2 linked regions of the Caenorhabditis elegans genome follow. The protein of the gene in region 2 interacts with the protein of the main gene of each other region in a biochemical or structural test. Each region holds a gene or a part of one and is shown on either strand. Other genes may lie near its edges.

Region 1 (9,975 bases), 4.8 Mb from region 2:
GATTGAAACAAATATATAGAAGGTTCTTGTTTGTTTCGTTACCTGACCTTAATCATTCTTCAGACTGTAATTGTGGAAAACATCAGACGTTCAGTTCTATGAGCGGAGCCAATCTCCAATTTCGTTTCCCCGTCCAAAAGAATTTTTCGATTTTGTTGGTTTCAAAAAGTTTTCTGACGGCTAAAAATTTGGAATAGTTATTTAAAAATGTGAAAAAGTGTCCAGAAACGCGGAGAGGTCAATAAGAAATCCGTTAGTGGGCTTTTCGGAAGTTGTACCGGAACAGCAAACGATACCAGGTGGTAATTAACATTTTGAATCTAAAAGTCGTAACATCCATAGGGACGCATATTTTTATTTCCGAGTTGAAATCGTATCTTTCAAGGTTTTTTTAAAGAGACTTTCAGAAAATTTGTGATGAAAAAAAAACATATCGCGTTAATCAAAATGATCAAATTTTGGCAATTGAATGAAATTAATTTTCAAATTGTGTTCCAATTGTAATAACAACAAAGTAACTTTGAAAATCGATATTGATGACATAAAAGTTAGAATTCGAGACTTTAATTAATTCGTGAGATAGGAGAAGCCAAACAAAAGCTTTGGAAGTTAAACGTGATTTTCAGACATATAAGGAATATTAGGAAACGGACAACATGATATTTGGAACATAGAGTGCACATTTTAACTAGAAGTTCTCAAGGATATTTTGTTAATTAATAAAATAAACACTTCCGGTAAGTGAAAATTTACAGCTGGAAAGAATACGTATGTCTGGACTTAATGAAAAGTTTCTTAAAAGTCACCGTTCAAAAATCAGAGAAAACTGGGAACGGAAAATTATTTTAAATATTAAAGAAATTTGAAATCTTTCTCCAAAATCGAGGATCCAGGAACGTACTCTTCCCTGTTTGAAACTTGTCCGCACGACCAATCAGCGCTTTGGTATGCCCTTTGAACCAATCGGTAATATCTCAGTTTCAGACACACTCAGCGATCACAATGTGCGCATTGCGTGTTCGATCGTTTTATTTTGTTGATATTCTATAATTTTGAAATATTATTATTTTTAAAGCAAAACCTCGCTGGCTGAGACTACCACTTTTAAATAATTTTCCTGAAACATATGGTGGCACTGAAATCTAGAAATTGTGTACAAAATATAGATTTGACTATAAGGTGTCAGAAATAAGAAAAAACGTGAAAGTGTACTGAAGCGAGAAATCGAGAATTCCTCCTCCACCTCCGGATCTCTTTTGACTCTTGCTTAGAATGATCTTGATACACATTAAAATTCAGAATATACATACATTTCCGGCCTCTTTGCCCCGTGCCTTGCGGCTCAAGGCTTAAGGAAAAAAATACGAATTAAAATAGAAATAAATGTTGAAGGAAGGAATAAGAAGGAGTAAGAAAATAAATAAAAATAAATAAATGGAAAGGAGAGAAAAGTAAACTTGGATGAAGAAATAAAGGATCAGATGACTGAAAATGAATAGAAAATAAGAAAAAACGAAACGGATTCTAGTTGAAGATTGAGACGATGTACAGAAAATGACTGATACGTTTTTAAAAGTTCTAAAAAAATTTGTGTGAAATGTGTGAAATGCGCAGATAAGCTCTGGAGTGGAGTAGAAAAATAGGGAGATATTTTTAAAAATTTTAAAAAATTAAATCCAAAAACTAAAAAAAAAAATTTCACTTCTACATTCCACATCTCACAAGTCTGTTTCTGGTGTTGATTCCTGAATCTACTGTAACTCTAATAGTGCAAGACTTAGTTCAGGCAATGAACAAAATTTGATCCTACTTTTGCCAATATTCACGGAAAGGGTAATCAAAATTTTGTTAAAATTGGGTGCAACCACAAAAGAAGTGTTGTCCAAGTTATGCTCAACTCTTCCCAATTTCCTTCCCATTTTAAAATTTTTTGGGCAAACATCAACTGTTGCCACCTACACAAAACATAAAAAATCGGATTTTTTCTTAAAAATTAATCATTTTCTGTGAATCATGTTGAAAAATATTTAAACTAGTGGAAGTACGTTAAATCGCAGAAAAACCATTTGAGATTGACATGAACCTAGTTGTATTAATGAAAATAAAAATTGTTAAGTGGAAAAAAATGGAAAAAAATATTGTGGCAATCCGAGCAGTTTGTTTATTTGTATAGTCAATGCCTTAGTAAAATAGTGCATTCATTCCCATCTCGTTTATTCTAAAACCATAGACTACTACTAAAGAGGATCTTCAAAATTAAATTAAAGCCCACAAACGATGAGCAGCTAAACAAAATGAAATAGAATGTGAGGCGCCGGTTCGGAACAAATGAAAATTTTTGTGTTTTGAAACAAAAATTGCTTGTTCTTCATTGTTGTATCCAATGAAAGTGTGTTTTCGTTTAAAAAATTGAAAATCCAATTTGATACGGTTCACTGAACTTTTGTTTCTGCAAAAAAGGATGTGTTTAATTGATGAGTTTAAGTTCAAAAATCTATTTATTTTTATTGTGTGACTTTTGATGCCTATGTATGTTTGAGAAGATTTAATTTCATTCGGAGGTGAAGAACAATAAAGGTTATTTTTTAGAAAATTTGAAAACGATTTTATAACTTTGAAAACTTGTTTGGCAAATAATTTTCAAAAACCCTGGTACGGGAAGAATTTACAGACAGCCAATTAGTATATATGTTTCTATTACAGATATCCTAGATTTTATTTCTGCTTTTGCACATTTTGCGCGGTGCTTCTTGTTTTCATGGTTTCATGGTTCTGATGTAGCTAACATACATTAATACTTCGTTGGTATCTCCTGTCCAATTTTTTTTCTGATTACATTCAAACACTTTCGATTTTTAACAACGTTTCTATTCAATTTCTATATTTATTTGGCATTTGACATTTTTTACAACCCGAAAACGACTAGAATTGGCGCGTAAAAGAGATCATAACCTACTTGTAGAAAAAATGCAAAGAGATCATTGAAAGTAAAACAAATAAGAAAAAGAAAATGATATTAAATGTGAACACTGCTATCAAGTACAAGATCAATTTTAATCATTGGAATAGCATGAGTTGGAGATGAAGGGCTCTTACGAGTTGGTAGAGCAGAGCAACGAGTCTGAAAAATAGGAATATTTGGAATAAACAATTGTTTGATTTCTTACCAATGGGCGTTTTGGTTTTGGACGACAGTAAGCTAATACCGAGGAGCGAAATGATTTATTCATGAAACAGTAGGTGATTGGATTTGCCAAAGAGCTGATGTATGTCATGATTGTCAATGATGAGTTGAGTCCAGGATTCCACAAATCAGTCGCCTGTAATGATATGATTCGTTTGGTCGAATGTTTTGGCCGAAAAAATCAGTAAATGTTATGCAAAAATATTATACAATTGGAAAATTAAAATGTATATTTGGTATTTGTAAATTCTCCAAAACTATATGCCGCTCAGATCCGTTCCAAATAGAATTAGTTTGATTTTCGTTTGAAAAGGAAATTGAAAAACTTGGAAAATCTTCCGAAAAAACTCACCGCTAGTTCAGCCATTCTGAGTAGTAGCCAATACAGGTAAGATGGCACCCAACAAAATGCAAAAACAATCACAAGTGTTATCAACATTCGGGTCACTTTCTTCTTGGCGATCAGGATCTTTTCCTGGAAAACATATACTTTATTACAAATATTTTTTATTGACAACCATTATTCATTTCGTTAAAAAAATGCTCATAATAAATCCAAGTTGTAAAGATTACAATAACTTTGATAGAAAACAGTATCTTATTCCAGAGCATCGTATTTTAATATTCTCGGTAATTTTTGATTCCTAGCACACAGTGCCGAACGGTGGAAATCTGCTTTGGAATTGGATGTCTAGTTTTTTTAGTGCTGACTGGGTTTTCTGAAAAGGCACAACAAAAACTGTACTATAATTGAAACTAAACAAATAGTTAAGCTGTCCCATTTTTTAAAATATTGTTGTGATTTCTCGAAAACTCACTTGATTTGTGCTCCTTAAAAGCATCGTAACATCAAACGATCCACGTGGTGTTGAGAAAAAGGATGAAAACGATGATCTACTGGGACGAACAGACAATCCGCTTGTTTGAGGAATTGACAGAGAGTTTTTCTCTTTGAATTGAAACTGGAAATATTCAATACGACACTATTTTTCAACTATTATATAAACTTACAGTTTTTGAAACAACTTTCATACTTGGAACTCGTTGCACTGCACTAACAAACCAATCCGAAAATGAAGCACGAGACGGGAGAGCTGAAAACTTGCACAGTGTATGGAGACCAAATGCTGGAACCTACTTTTTTCAATCATCTGCTGTTCAACTGTGGGATGATCACTGTTAATGGCAGTATTCAGAGTGATTATCACATTTCCATAGAGACCGACCATCAGGGCAAGAGGTACGAATAATAGTGTCTGAAACGTTTCAATTCGGTAAAGTTTATGAAAATGTTGCAAATGGTGAAACATTTAACAGAAGATACAAAATAATTTCGCTCCATTAAAATATTTTTCAAAAAATTGGATCAGTAATATTTTTTATGTTTAATCCAATAGTTTTGATAACTTTACTCATCAAATGCTTAAAGATGCTAGACTCCATTTTATGTAATGTATGAAAATTCTATACTAACTGTAATTTTTGAAAACAAAAACCTACAAAAGTTAAATAAAGTTGGTAGATAAAATCAACGAGTGGTCCTTTCGTGGAGTCACACGTGAATTTTCCAGGGTTAGCGTCGTAGAGGAAAAGACTTGTTAAATTGGCTGAGAAGCTGAAGCACCATACCAATGAAATTGTTATCAGTGCTCGTTTCTGGAAATATAATTCTTTGGATGAACACCACAAATAAGTGGGAGATGTACCTTTGTCTGCCATTTTCTTGATTCCAATGGTCGACAAATTGCATAGTATCGTTCAATGGCAATGACAGCAAGAGTGTACGCGGATGCACAAACTCCGACAGCTGAAAACTTGATAGATATAGCGAAAGAAATTTGAACTGAATAAAATAATTTTTGGTTTCTGATATTACACACCTACAAGCCCTACCCGATACCTATCCTGTTGGACAATTATATTGGTGTTTTTGGAACTTTGCTGAAATGCTTAAAATCTGATCAAGATGTTGTGTTTTGACTCAAAATAAAAATCAGTGGGGAGCTGAGATAAAAACAGAATTTTCAGGCGTATCCAGCCTCAGATTCGCTTAGCTGACGATTTTTTTGAGCCAAATGTCCTCCCGGGTTTTTTGGACATTCCCCAGTTAGTAATTTGGCTACTATTCCGTTAGAAGGAAACCCTTGATTTAAAATTCAAATTTGGTGTTTCCTTTTCATTGAGTAAACAATCATAATAATAATCCATAGAACACTCTCTCAACTTACCCACATCTATTTCAAAGACTAAAGACTAAAACCAGTTGTATGTCTGAAAAATGTTCATCCTCCCAATTAATTCTCATTTTTCTCTCATTTCATTTTTAATTCCGATACTCCTCGTCATTTTTGATTGATGTACTACTTTTCTCATAATCCTTTTTTCACTTCCTCTTTGAATTTTCACTTACGTTGAAGAAATGCGACAATTTTACACATGGCGGCACCAAGGAGCCAACATTGTGTCAATTCACCAAGAAGTGTACTTGGAATACATATAATACTACGAAGAAGATCTGCAAATGCCAAGTTGAGAAGATAGAAATTTGTGATGCTTCTGGATCGATGTGATTTTCCGAGGATTGTGAGGATCACTGAAAATAATAAAAATTGCATTTTATGTTGCAATAAAATTTTTGAAAAATCGAAACTCGTTTTAAGAAACTAGACAAATTCTGGACTTTTATTTATTTTTTAAAATTTGTATCGGATCCTTCTGACTTTGAGAATGAAAAATGTTTTCAATTCAATCAATTCAAAATATTATTAAACATTTAATAAAAATAAGTTATACAGAAAACCAAAACAAAATAATAATTTAGTTTGAAACAGTTTTATGGAAACTTAAATTTCAACCAAATCTATTTCAAAAAAATTTTGTTAATTAATTTTTTGCGTATTTCAATGGCGATTTATATTTTTTTTAAATTCAAGATCCTCTATTGTTTTCTCACTTTCAAAAAAAAACTCTCATTTACTTTACTTTTTTTTCAATGAGTTATACTTGATCTTTGCCCACTTATTGAAATTGAATTCCAGAACAAATAGAATATTCAAAACCCCTTTTTGACTTTTAAAAATCTCTCAAATTTTGGAACAGGTGTCTCGGTGGCGTTCAAAGATCAAGTGACACCAGAAAATACGCCAATTGTTTTTTCTACATTTCTATAAAAGGCAAGTAATAATTTATAGATCAGCTATAAAAATATATTAGTTCCAAACTAATTTCAATCTGAATTTCTTACTTTTAATCCAATTTTTCAAAATTTTGATGTTAATTTCTTTTTTTTTAAATTTAATTTTGAATAATTTTTAGTTTAAATTTTTTGGCGTTTGTACATTTCATATTTTCTCAAACCCTTCTTCCTGTAAAAAATAAAAATATATCGCGAGCTTTTCTTTTCACTTCTGCTCAAAAATTCATTTCCTCAAAAAGATGGGATTCCCGAAAAGTCTTAAAATTCTTGAAAACAAAAATGGACAAATAACTTGTCAAATTTCATATTCCCTCTAAAATATGTCTCGCCTTTCCATTTCCCTTAGGAGTGTCATATCGGTGGTCCTATTTTAGACATAACAAGTCCAAAACACACTTTTTCAGAATAGAATTCTTTGCTCTTTCTCTTTTCGTAAAAGGTTCGGATTTCTAACTGGGAATAATAATGTCAATTCGAATAAAATATTCCAAAAATGTTCATAAATGTTAGAATAAATATGAAATATTTGAATAATGACACAGCTTTGATGCATTTTTTGAAGTTTTTTTTTTATGTTTTTCAAAAACGGGCTATTTCAATAAAAAATGAATCAAAAAATGTACAAATATTTTTCGAAACTTTCAAATTTATAAGATTGTATTTAAGATTGTATTTGTTTAAAATTAAGCTTTAAAAAATTTACCAATTGCATTTCCAAGTAGTGAAAGTATAAGACATAGTAGAAATATTGACGATATCATAATTGTATAAGGACTGATTATCACTGAACATTCTTTTGGCATTGTGTATCTGAAAATTTTTAATTTTAAATGAGATATTTCTAGAAAAATATTTGGAAAAGTGCGGAAAAAGGAAATTATAAAAATAATATTTTCCTTTTTTAAAACAAGATTTCACGATTATTTTATCAGCCTTGAACTACAAATTTGGGATATTTCAGAAAAATTTCAAAAAGATCTCAGGTGCTAGCATCTCATCTAAGTAAATCGAAGTAAAGAATAAAAAATAAATAAATAGTTTGAAAATCAAAATATTCTCAAAAATCAGCTGATATCACCAAATAGGTGGGACTGAACGGAAAGAAGCAAAAATTTGAAGACATCAGAAAGGAAATTCGAATAAATCAAAACTTGTGATCACGGGAAGAAATAATGAAATAAGTGATTCAGAAGTTTGTAGTTTGGAAGAACTCATAAAAATAGTAAAGTTGAACGGGAAAAAGTTATTTCAGGGAATTATTTTTTTAGGAACGTGACATTTGATGGCTGGATAATTGTTCTGGGTCAAAAAGAAAAGGGCGAAAAAAAGAAACGGGATGACAAAGGAAATAAATGTTTCAAAATATTTGAGAGTTATGATTAATAATCTTTGCTTTTGAAATTCTGAGAATTATCAGATAAGTATTATATTTTATATGCTTATTGATTTATAGAAGTTTTCTTAGAATTTTATGATTTAGTGCCTAACCCGAAATTTTCCCTTTTTTAATTTTCAAATCAGTTTCATTTGGGACAGTGTAGCCATGATATCTAACTTTTTTACAAAAATTGTTCGATTTCAGCAAATTTTTTTAATGAACAAAGTTTTGGTTGTATAAAAATTTACACCACGATAAGCTCTCCGAGTAGGCAGAGCCTATTTTAAAAGGATCATACTTCTGCCTAGTGCTTGCAAACAGTTGAATTGAAGTGATAAAAAATTAAGCATATGCGGAATTAGGTATGCTATCTGAAAAAGTTTACCGCAAACTGCAACAACGAAATTGGAATTTTGAAAAAATGTTGAAGAAAAAATTAAACATCTCATAAAACCAATAATAAATAAATTCATAAATGGAAGATTATCAGAAACTTGTATAGATTTTTGGTTTTCTCTAAGAAAATGAAACAATTATTATTGAAACTATATATGGAATATAGAAATAGATGAAAGGTGGCACGAGACAGAAGAAGCGGGGGCAAATAAAAAGTAAATAGATCAATCTAGAATATGTCTTTCTCTCGATTTTCTTTGAGTTCTTCTTATTTGAATTGTGATATGTAATTGGATCAAGTATCACACAACCCCCTTTCACACCCGGACCCCCGTTTTCTTCCTTCTCTGCGAAGGTGGGCGGAGTCTGAGCTTTTGCTCTACAATTCTGTGCTCTCTTTCCTTCCAGTCACCCCATCTGTTCTGAATATAAGAGAAAAAATGGGAAAAAAGATGAAAAATGAATTAGACCCTTAGGGCATGTTTGACTTGAAAAAAAGTAAACATGGTGCAACCAACATGTACGATTTTAAGAAAATTTTCGGGTACTTTTTGCAAAAACGTTTTCTTGAAACATATTATAAAGTTCAGAGCAGCTTTAAATTAGGAAACGACCAATCAAAAAACCAATACTACTATCTAGGACTATTTTTGCAAGTACTTGAGAAAAACCAAAAACAATAGAAGTAAACAAAACACAAAGAAACTTTATTCATACTCTTTGAAAAAGGAGAATCCACTTGAAAAGTTTAGCTCCATTTAACGAAGAGCACAACACAAACCGCCCCCTTTCTCTATCTCACAGGCTTTTGTCTTTCTTTTTTTGTTTTTTCTACTAGGAACTTTTTTCTCCGAATGATTTCATGAAATCTCACACAGAGCCATTGAAATTCGGAAATTTAATACAAGACCTCTGTGATTAGAGATTGACAGAATAGGAAACAATACGATTTTCAAAAAATCTTTCTGACAATTGCAGCGGAAACGAAAAAAAACCAGACAAGGGTAATATGACGCACAATCGGAAGAAATTAGAGATTAATTAGAAATTGAGTGGACATTTGTGAAACATTGTTTTTGAATCAAAAGATTAATTTGCCAATTAAGAAAAACATGAGATTTCAAGCATTATTATTGAAAAATTGAGTAAACTTACAAGTAAACTTATTGAAAATGAGAGACTAAAAAATTGCGCAAGATCAAGGTATTTAACTAACCCGTTATAATTGACTATTGATGGGAATAGTAATTTTCAGATAGAGCACTTCAAGAAATGTTTGGTTACATTTATTTGTTACCTTCACTAAAACGATAATTTTTGTGAGCATGTTCGAAATTAATGACTGGAATGTTTGCATGTTTGCTACGACGCTATTTAACTAATTAAAATATCAAACATTTATATCAAAAATTTCTATCAAAAATTAACTTGAAGATAAATCATCAGATTCTCTGAAAATGATTATTAATTTTTCATAAATAAAACTTTCTGACCTCATTCTCAATATTTTTAAGACACCATAAAAGATGAGAACAAGCCCATCAATTTGCTCTAAAATTCTGACCAATGACCGTAAATGCTTGATTTATTTCAATTGGTTTGTTTTTTGATGACGCCTTTTTGCGATTTAGTCATACCTGAATTTTTTGAAAAGAATTCTACGGTACTTTCAAAAAATATATGCATTGAAACTGGAAAAGAAAAAGCGTTCCATAATGCATACGTGAGAACCTTAAAAAACTTGAAAAATAAATATTTGAGGAAAGATATTCTTATAATTAGTTTTTTGTGTAAGCTCCCTTGAACAATCCCTTGAACGAA
Region 2 (6,641 bases):
TATCGATAGAGTACTGAAAATCGGTTAAAAATGACCAATGAGCCGCTAAATCGACACAAACGCTACAGTAGTAATTTAAAGACTTACTGTAGTTTTCGCTACGAGATATTTTGCGCGTCAAATATGTTGTGCAATATGCATTCTCAGAATTTTGTGTTCCCGTAATAGTCAAAATTTCAAATTTCAAATTATCTTTTATTTTATAAAATACAATTTTAGGTGTTTGAGGAGAAAATCTATAATTTCAACGTGTCCCTGATACCTGAACCCTGATAGGAAAAAAACCCGGGACTTTTAACACTTTTTGGGTCCTGGCACGATTGAAACTTCAAAATTTTGAGCTACCGTAACCGCGGAAATATTTCGAAATGCTTTTTATTATTTTTAATACATTTTTTATACAGTAAAGCAAAATTTCCAGAGAAACATATATTTCTGCGAAAGTTTCGATCGTGGCAAGACCAATAACAACGTACCAATCAAATTAACACGGCCCGGACACGTGACACGAACTTCTGGCTCAATACCATACAATTTGACGAATTGCTCGGCGAGCTGCTCATTTGAGACCATTTTTAACGAATTTCTGAAACTATATAATAGGAAATTGGAAGTTGTAGAAAAGACAATAGGGGCACCACCACCTATAACAAACAAAATAATATTTATATGACTGTCTGCGTCTCTAACATGTTGACCATACTCTGTGTTGCCCGCCGCCACGTGTTGCGTGCATGGTGTACTGGGAATCTGATAGATAAGGGATTCGATGATGTTCAGTACGGTCTGCGCCTTTGAGGATTACTGTAGTTCACACATTTTCTTATTTTCGAGAAAAATCTATTCAAATAAATACCAAAATTTTTGGACAAACCAAATTTAAAATATCAAAACCCATGTTTTTTTTAAACAAGTGAGCAACGAAAATTTTCGAATTACAGTAATCTTTAAAGGCGCACATATATTTTCGCATTTAATGAAAATGTGTCGCTTCGAGACCGGCTTCAGCATTTTTTGAAGCAGAATTTCTCATCTCGGTAATATGCCTCTTTCTTGACGTTTTCCTAAATTTTTGTCGACAAATTCGACAAATCGGCAATTTGCCGATTTGCCGGAAATTTTCATTTTTGGCAAATTGCCGTTTGCCGGATATCAGATTTGCCGGAAATGTTTAGAGGAATTTTTACAAGACGGAAACACTTAAAACTGTGTCATTTTGAATTTTTTCCCGTTTTTTAAAGGATATTTTCATAAAATTTGCTTAATTTTCAAAATAGATGTAGGAAAATTCATAGGATGCGTTTAATTTTGCCATTTGAAATTAAAATTCCAAAATTTCCAAAAAATAATAAAAACAAAATCACAATTTGCCGAAAATTTTCGGAAAATTGTTGTTTTTCCGGCTACTTGCGGGTTTGCCGGAAACTTAAAATTCCGGCAATTTGCCGATTTGCCGGAAAAAAATCGTTTACCGCCCACCCCTGAACTACAGTACTCCTTAAAGGCGCACACTGGTTTGCAAAAAGATAATCTAGACTGGGTCCCGTCACGGCTCAGAGTTTTTTCCAGAATTTTCAAAGCGAAATTACAAGTTTGTGTTAGTAGCTTCCATCGCGACGAGACCCAGAATATTCCACAATAGGTCTCACCACGAAGCAAAATAGTTATTAATTGCCGGCGTGGCGAGACCCACAGAAACACGTGTTGTCAGGCTGTCCCATTACGGTTTGATCTACAAAAAATGCGGGAATTTTTTGCCAAAACACTCTGCAAAGAACTCTGCGTCTCAACTCCCGCATTTTTGTAGATCTACGTAGATCAAACCGAAATGAGAAAAAGCTTTATTCAAAGTTTTTTGTTTTGATTTTAATTGCAAAAAAGAAAAGAAATTCTTCAACAATAAAATGATTCATTGGCGACTGTCTCTGTGTTGGTTATTAGAAAAAAATAAATCGTTCGATTGGTGGTTTGGATGGCGGAGCAGGGAAAAATAGTTAGACGGGGTCGGTTATTGCCATTCCCAGATTGGCTCGAGCACAACTGGTCCAGAGCTGCCGCTGCTTCGCTTTCCGAACTGGAGAGGCCGATAGTCGCGTTTTCCGAACTGCAATGGACGGTACCCATCTCGCTTGCCGAACTGCAATTTATGTGTGTATAATATTTTTAACTTTTTTTAAAATGTCTTGTTCCCTACCTGAAGTGGCCGGTAATCGCGATCCTGACGGTCAAACGTCGGCGACTGTGTTGCAAAAACTGTAAAAAAAACGGAAGTAATTTTTAGAAAAAAAATTGGCCTAAAAATTGGCCTAAAAATAGTATTAAAACGACGAACCCTCCACGAATACGAGGATGAGCATGAGCAGGGCGCAGCTGTGGTGGCGGAGCATTTTGTCGGAGGCAATTGAAATAAGTTTCGCCGAGTCGAGGTGTCGGGCTTTTATACCACCCCCCCCCCCATCAGTAAACTACAGATTCGTCATATTTCCCAACGGAGCCGGGGGGACCACGCCTTTCCCCCCTACCATTTTGGTTAGCTTCTGGAGTTGATGGGCTCGTAAAAACTGAGAGAGAGATTCATAGCGTTTATCCAAATGAAGTGATGAAAATGGGGTGAAAGGATTTAAAGAAAAAGAGTGATGGGGGAGGGAGAGGGGTAAAAATAGCGATTTCAACAGTCAAAGAAAAAAATAGAAATTTAAAAAATAATTTAAATAGTATCCTCCGGATTCGTCTCGGCCACGAGCTTCAACTGCTCGGCGTTCTCGATCAAGAAGTAGGCGAAGACGGCGATGAAGACGAAGAGAATTGTGAATGTGATCTGGAAAATAGAAAATAAGTTTTTATTGCCAGAAAAAGGGCGAAAAACTCACCGTGCTTCCCAAGAATCCTCCTTTGTTGCTCTGAGCTTGACGAGCCGATGCCCGATCGGCGGCCATTTCCTCTTCCGTCAAGTATCGCATCGACTCCTCGCAATCGTCGCTGTCCGATTCGGGAGAGGTAGTAGCTGCCGCTGTTGCAGCTGACACGTTCTGGAAAACTCGTTGTGGCGGTGATTTCTTCGGTGACGAGCTGATGATCAATGAATCCTCGTTGAATTGAGAGTCGTTGAGATTTGATTGATCTGGAAATTAGAGGTTCGAAAACTTTAAAAATGTTATTTAGAAATTAATAAATAATTTAAATTCAAATCCTCACTGTTAATGCTTCCGTCTGATAACTTGATAAGCTTCTTCTCGTAGAGCTTGCGGGTCGTCGCCACAATTGGCCCAACAGAAACCCCGTGGCTTTTAAGGCTATCGCGTAGTTCGGCATCTGTCAGCTGGGAGACGTCCATTTTTTGTGAGATGGTCTGGAAAAAGCAAAAAATGACAATTTTCAAGCAAAAATTGAGGAAAACGAGCGATTTTCTACCTAAAATCTTGAGAAAATCGTTTATTTATTGAACATTTTACCAAAAAAATTAAAAATGCCCATTTTTTGTGAGATGGTCTGGAAAAGGCAAAAAAATGACAATTTTCGAGCAAAAATTGAGGAAGGGCGATTTTCTACTTAAAAAATGGTTTATTCATTGATTTTTCACCGAAAAAATGAAAAATTCTACAAAAAACTGATTAAAAACAGGAGAAAATGAAAAATTATGAAAAAATAATTTCAAACCCAAGTCAAATTGGCTGAGAGACAACGCGACGGCGAGAGACGCAGAGTGGACGGGTCTCGTCACGATATCGCTTTGTGTCGATTTACGGAGGAATTTCCAGCCCGCAGATTTAAATCAATGATTTTCGCGCGCGCTTTTTTTCCTGAATCATGATTCGAATCATACATAAATAAAATACGGAAAACGAGGTTTTTTTAATAAAGTTTCAACCATTTCTTTTTGTCCACAAAACATTTACATAAAATTAGATCAATGTTAATAGAAATAAATATGAAATTAAAAACTATCGCAAAAAGTCGATACAATAATGGGGAAGAAGAAGGGGGGATGGTGTGTGGATGGGGGATGGTTTTTTTTTCGGTTGAGAAGAAGAAGAAGGAAAAATGACAAAAAAAAATCGATGAAAAATGGAAAAAAATAGGGTGGGGGGGAGGATTTCGAGGTTAGCTTGATGGGAAAAAAATATGAAAAACGGGATTTTTAGGGTAAGGGTGAAGTTTGGGGAGGGGAGTGGAGAAAGCATTCGATAATTTTCGAAAAAAATATGGTGAAAACTCAAAAAAAACGTTATAATATTTGAATTATGTGGATGTGGGTGGGAGAAATTGAAGTTGAGGAGGAAAAAAAAACTATGTCCAACACGAAAAATGTGTTTTTTTTGTGGTTAGAATTGTTAGAAAGGTAAAAAAAATAAAAATTTGAATCAAGACAAAAAAAAACGAAAGAAGCGGCGGTTTGTTGTGGGGATTTTTGTGAGAAAAAAAAAGACAAAAAAAAAAATTTTTTTTGTGAATGACAGAGAGACTAGGTGGTGTTTTTGCATGCCGGAAACTAGGTTGATGGGTAGGGAAGGATGTGAAAACCGACTTTTTGTGATGATAAATGAGTATAGACAGGACAGAAAGAGAGAGAGAGAGAGAGAGAGAGAAGTTTTGTTTCTTTTTGCATTAGCTATATCAGAAAGCACATCCAAAAAAAGAAGAAAAAAGTGCTTATATGGAAAGAATATTCGGGAGGAGCATTTGTTTTAGGGAGGAAAATGAGAAAATAAGAAAATAAGGAAGAGATGGAGAGAGAGACAGACAGAGAGAGAAAGTTTTTTGCAAAAAAAAAACAAAAATTAGAAGGAGTACAAGAAAATGTTTCCTAGGTTTAGGTGGTGGTGTCTCACTCGACCCAGTGAGAGAGAGAGAGAGAGAGAGATGGATCATCATCATCATCATCCAATCCGACATGCGACTTTCTTCTTACACCAAGTTGTACTCCTTCAGATTATGCTGTAGAATTGTGTCTTTGACGGCGGCGAACACGAACCGAATGTTTTCCGTATCTGAAATAGAGGTCCCTTTTATTTGAAAATTTTAGATATTTTTAAACAATTTTTTAGTAATTCGCCATGAGCAACTCTAAGTGTCCATGGGACACCGAATCGGTAACCCGTGGCTACCATAAGTGCTTTTCTCGAACACGGAGTTCTGGCTTCCCTGGAAGAGTTTGGGCCATTTTAGCTCGCCCATATCTGGAGTAGATTTACGGCGCGTTGCGTGTCGCGGCTCAATTCTAGTTGTAAAACTGAATTTATTTATCCGTGTGGAGTACACGACTTTATCCGGCAGACACGATTGTCAATGGAGCGCGAAAATTCAATGAAGAAGGCTAGAACCCCGTGCTCGAATATTTTCCACCTAGCAAACAAAGAAAAGACATACCAGTCGCGCACGTAAAATGAGAGTAGATAATCTTGTCGGCGTCCGGATTCAAGTCGACAAACATTTTGAGAATAAACTCGCGGGCGGCGATCGGATCGCGTGGGGGTCCTGAAAAGAAAACAATTTAGGTGGGTGAAATTTGCCCAAATAAAGTCTCTCAATAAAAGACTCTACAAACCGTCATATTCGGGAAAGTAGTCAGCGAGATGCGAGTACAGAATCTTCTCCTCGAGCAGATCCTTCTTGTTCAGGAATAGAATGACCGATGAGTTGGTGAACCATGGGTACGTGATGATCGTTCGGAACAGAGCTTTCGATTCTTCCATTCGGTTCTGCAAGATTGATTTCTAGTTTGTTTTTTTTTTGCACTATTGTAAGGATTATCACTCTACACTTCACATATTTTAGTTCTAGCTGACAATTTACAGAAAGAACGAGCGAAATCGGTAACGATTTCTACGACGAGAACAATTCGCGTGTTGGGAGAAACTCCTGTTTGAATTGGCGCCTTCGGTACCTGTCGTGTCGAGACCCGCCTGCACATCTTCCCGCGGAATTGGCAACTCTGCGTCTCTCACTCTCTCTCGTCGGGCAGTATATAAGGCGAGTGCGACGCTCATTAATCATCATTTCTTGACCTGTCACCTGTGTTTTGCTCATCCCCAAATCCCCGTTATTCTGTTATCTTACGTTATCATACGTAAACCACTTGGCCCTTAATAAATGCTATAATATTCTACTGGCTCTTCATCACACGCTTATCCCACTGTTACTCTATAGTGCAAATGAGAAATAGCTTAATATCCGCCCCGGCCCCTTGAAAAATGCACATTTTCCGGGCCGAATAGATTGTTTTCGGCCCCTAATTATGGTGCACAGTCGGCGACTAAATTGCATATTTTCGCTTAAAGCCACTATCTCCCTCTCCGTATCTCCGTATCTCTTGGGAGACGAAAAAAGCATCAGAGATTGTTTTCAGCTCATTATATATATATACGAATACCGTATAGTTTTTTCGTAATTAGTACTTTCTCCAGGGAGCTCACCTCGTTGTCACACTCGACCAACACCTGATCATACTCGGAAAGCGCCACCAGGAACATGATTGAGGTGACATTTTCGAAACAGTGGATCCACTTCCGCCTTTCTGATCGCTGACCTCCGACGTCCACCATTCTGGAAAACACAATTTTCCGTTTTTTGAATGTAATTTTTAGTAAATTAAAAAGCTCACCGAAAGATGATCTGCTCCAAATCAAATGGATATTCAATGA

What was found.
Region 1: the proteins of nlp-12 (region 2) and ckr-1 interact in a test that uses a peptide from one of them, tested with the Caenorhabditis elegans proteins (one large-scale study listed by BioGRID).

What each region holds. Positions count from the first base shown.
Region 1 is NC_003279.8:6,684,480-6,694,454, forward strand, and holds ckr-1 (G-protein coupled receptors family 1 profile domain-containing protein), read right to left. Parts: upstream 7,193-9,975; 5' UTR 7,184-7,192; coding exon 7,084-7,183; intron 5,778-7,083; coding exon 5,595-5,777; intron 4,992-5,594; coding exon 4,891-4,991; intron 4,841-4,890; coding exon 4,685-4,840; intron 4,441-4,684; coding exon 4,323-4,440; intron 4,279-4,322; coding exon 4,196-4,278; intron 4,147-4,195; coding exon 4,003-4,146; intron 3,660-4,002; coding exon 3,537-3,659; intron 3,321-3,536; coding exon 3,168-3,320; intron 3,122-3,167; coding exon 3,017-3,121; 3' UTR 2,870-3,016; downstream 1-2,869.
Region 2 is NC_003279.8:1,839,153-1,845,793, reverse strand, and holds nlp-12 (Neuropeptide-Like Protein), read right to left. Parts: upstream 2,411-6,641; 5' UTR 2,388-2,410; coding exon 2,333-2,387; intron 2,254-2,332; coding exon 2,195-2,253; intron 2,138-2,194; coding exon 2,009-2,137; 3' UTR 1,835-2,008; downstream 1-1,834. Other genes in the region: tag-96 (Galactokinase), read right to left, coding at 477-573; emr-1 (Emerin homolog 1), read right to left, coding at 2,708-2,818, 2,871-3,121, 3,196-3,334; egl-30 (Guanine nucleotide-binding protein subunit alpha), read right to left, coding at 4,906-4,988, 5,368-5,475, 5,546-5,699, 6,414-6,543, 6,602-6,641.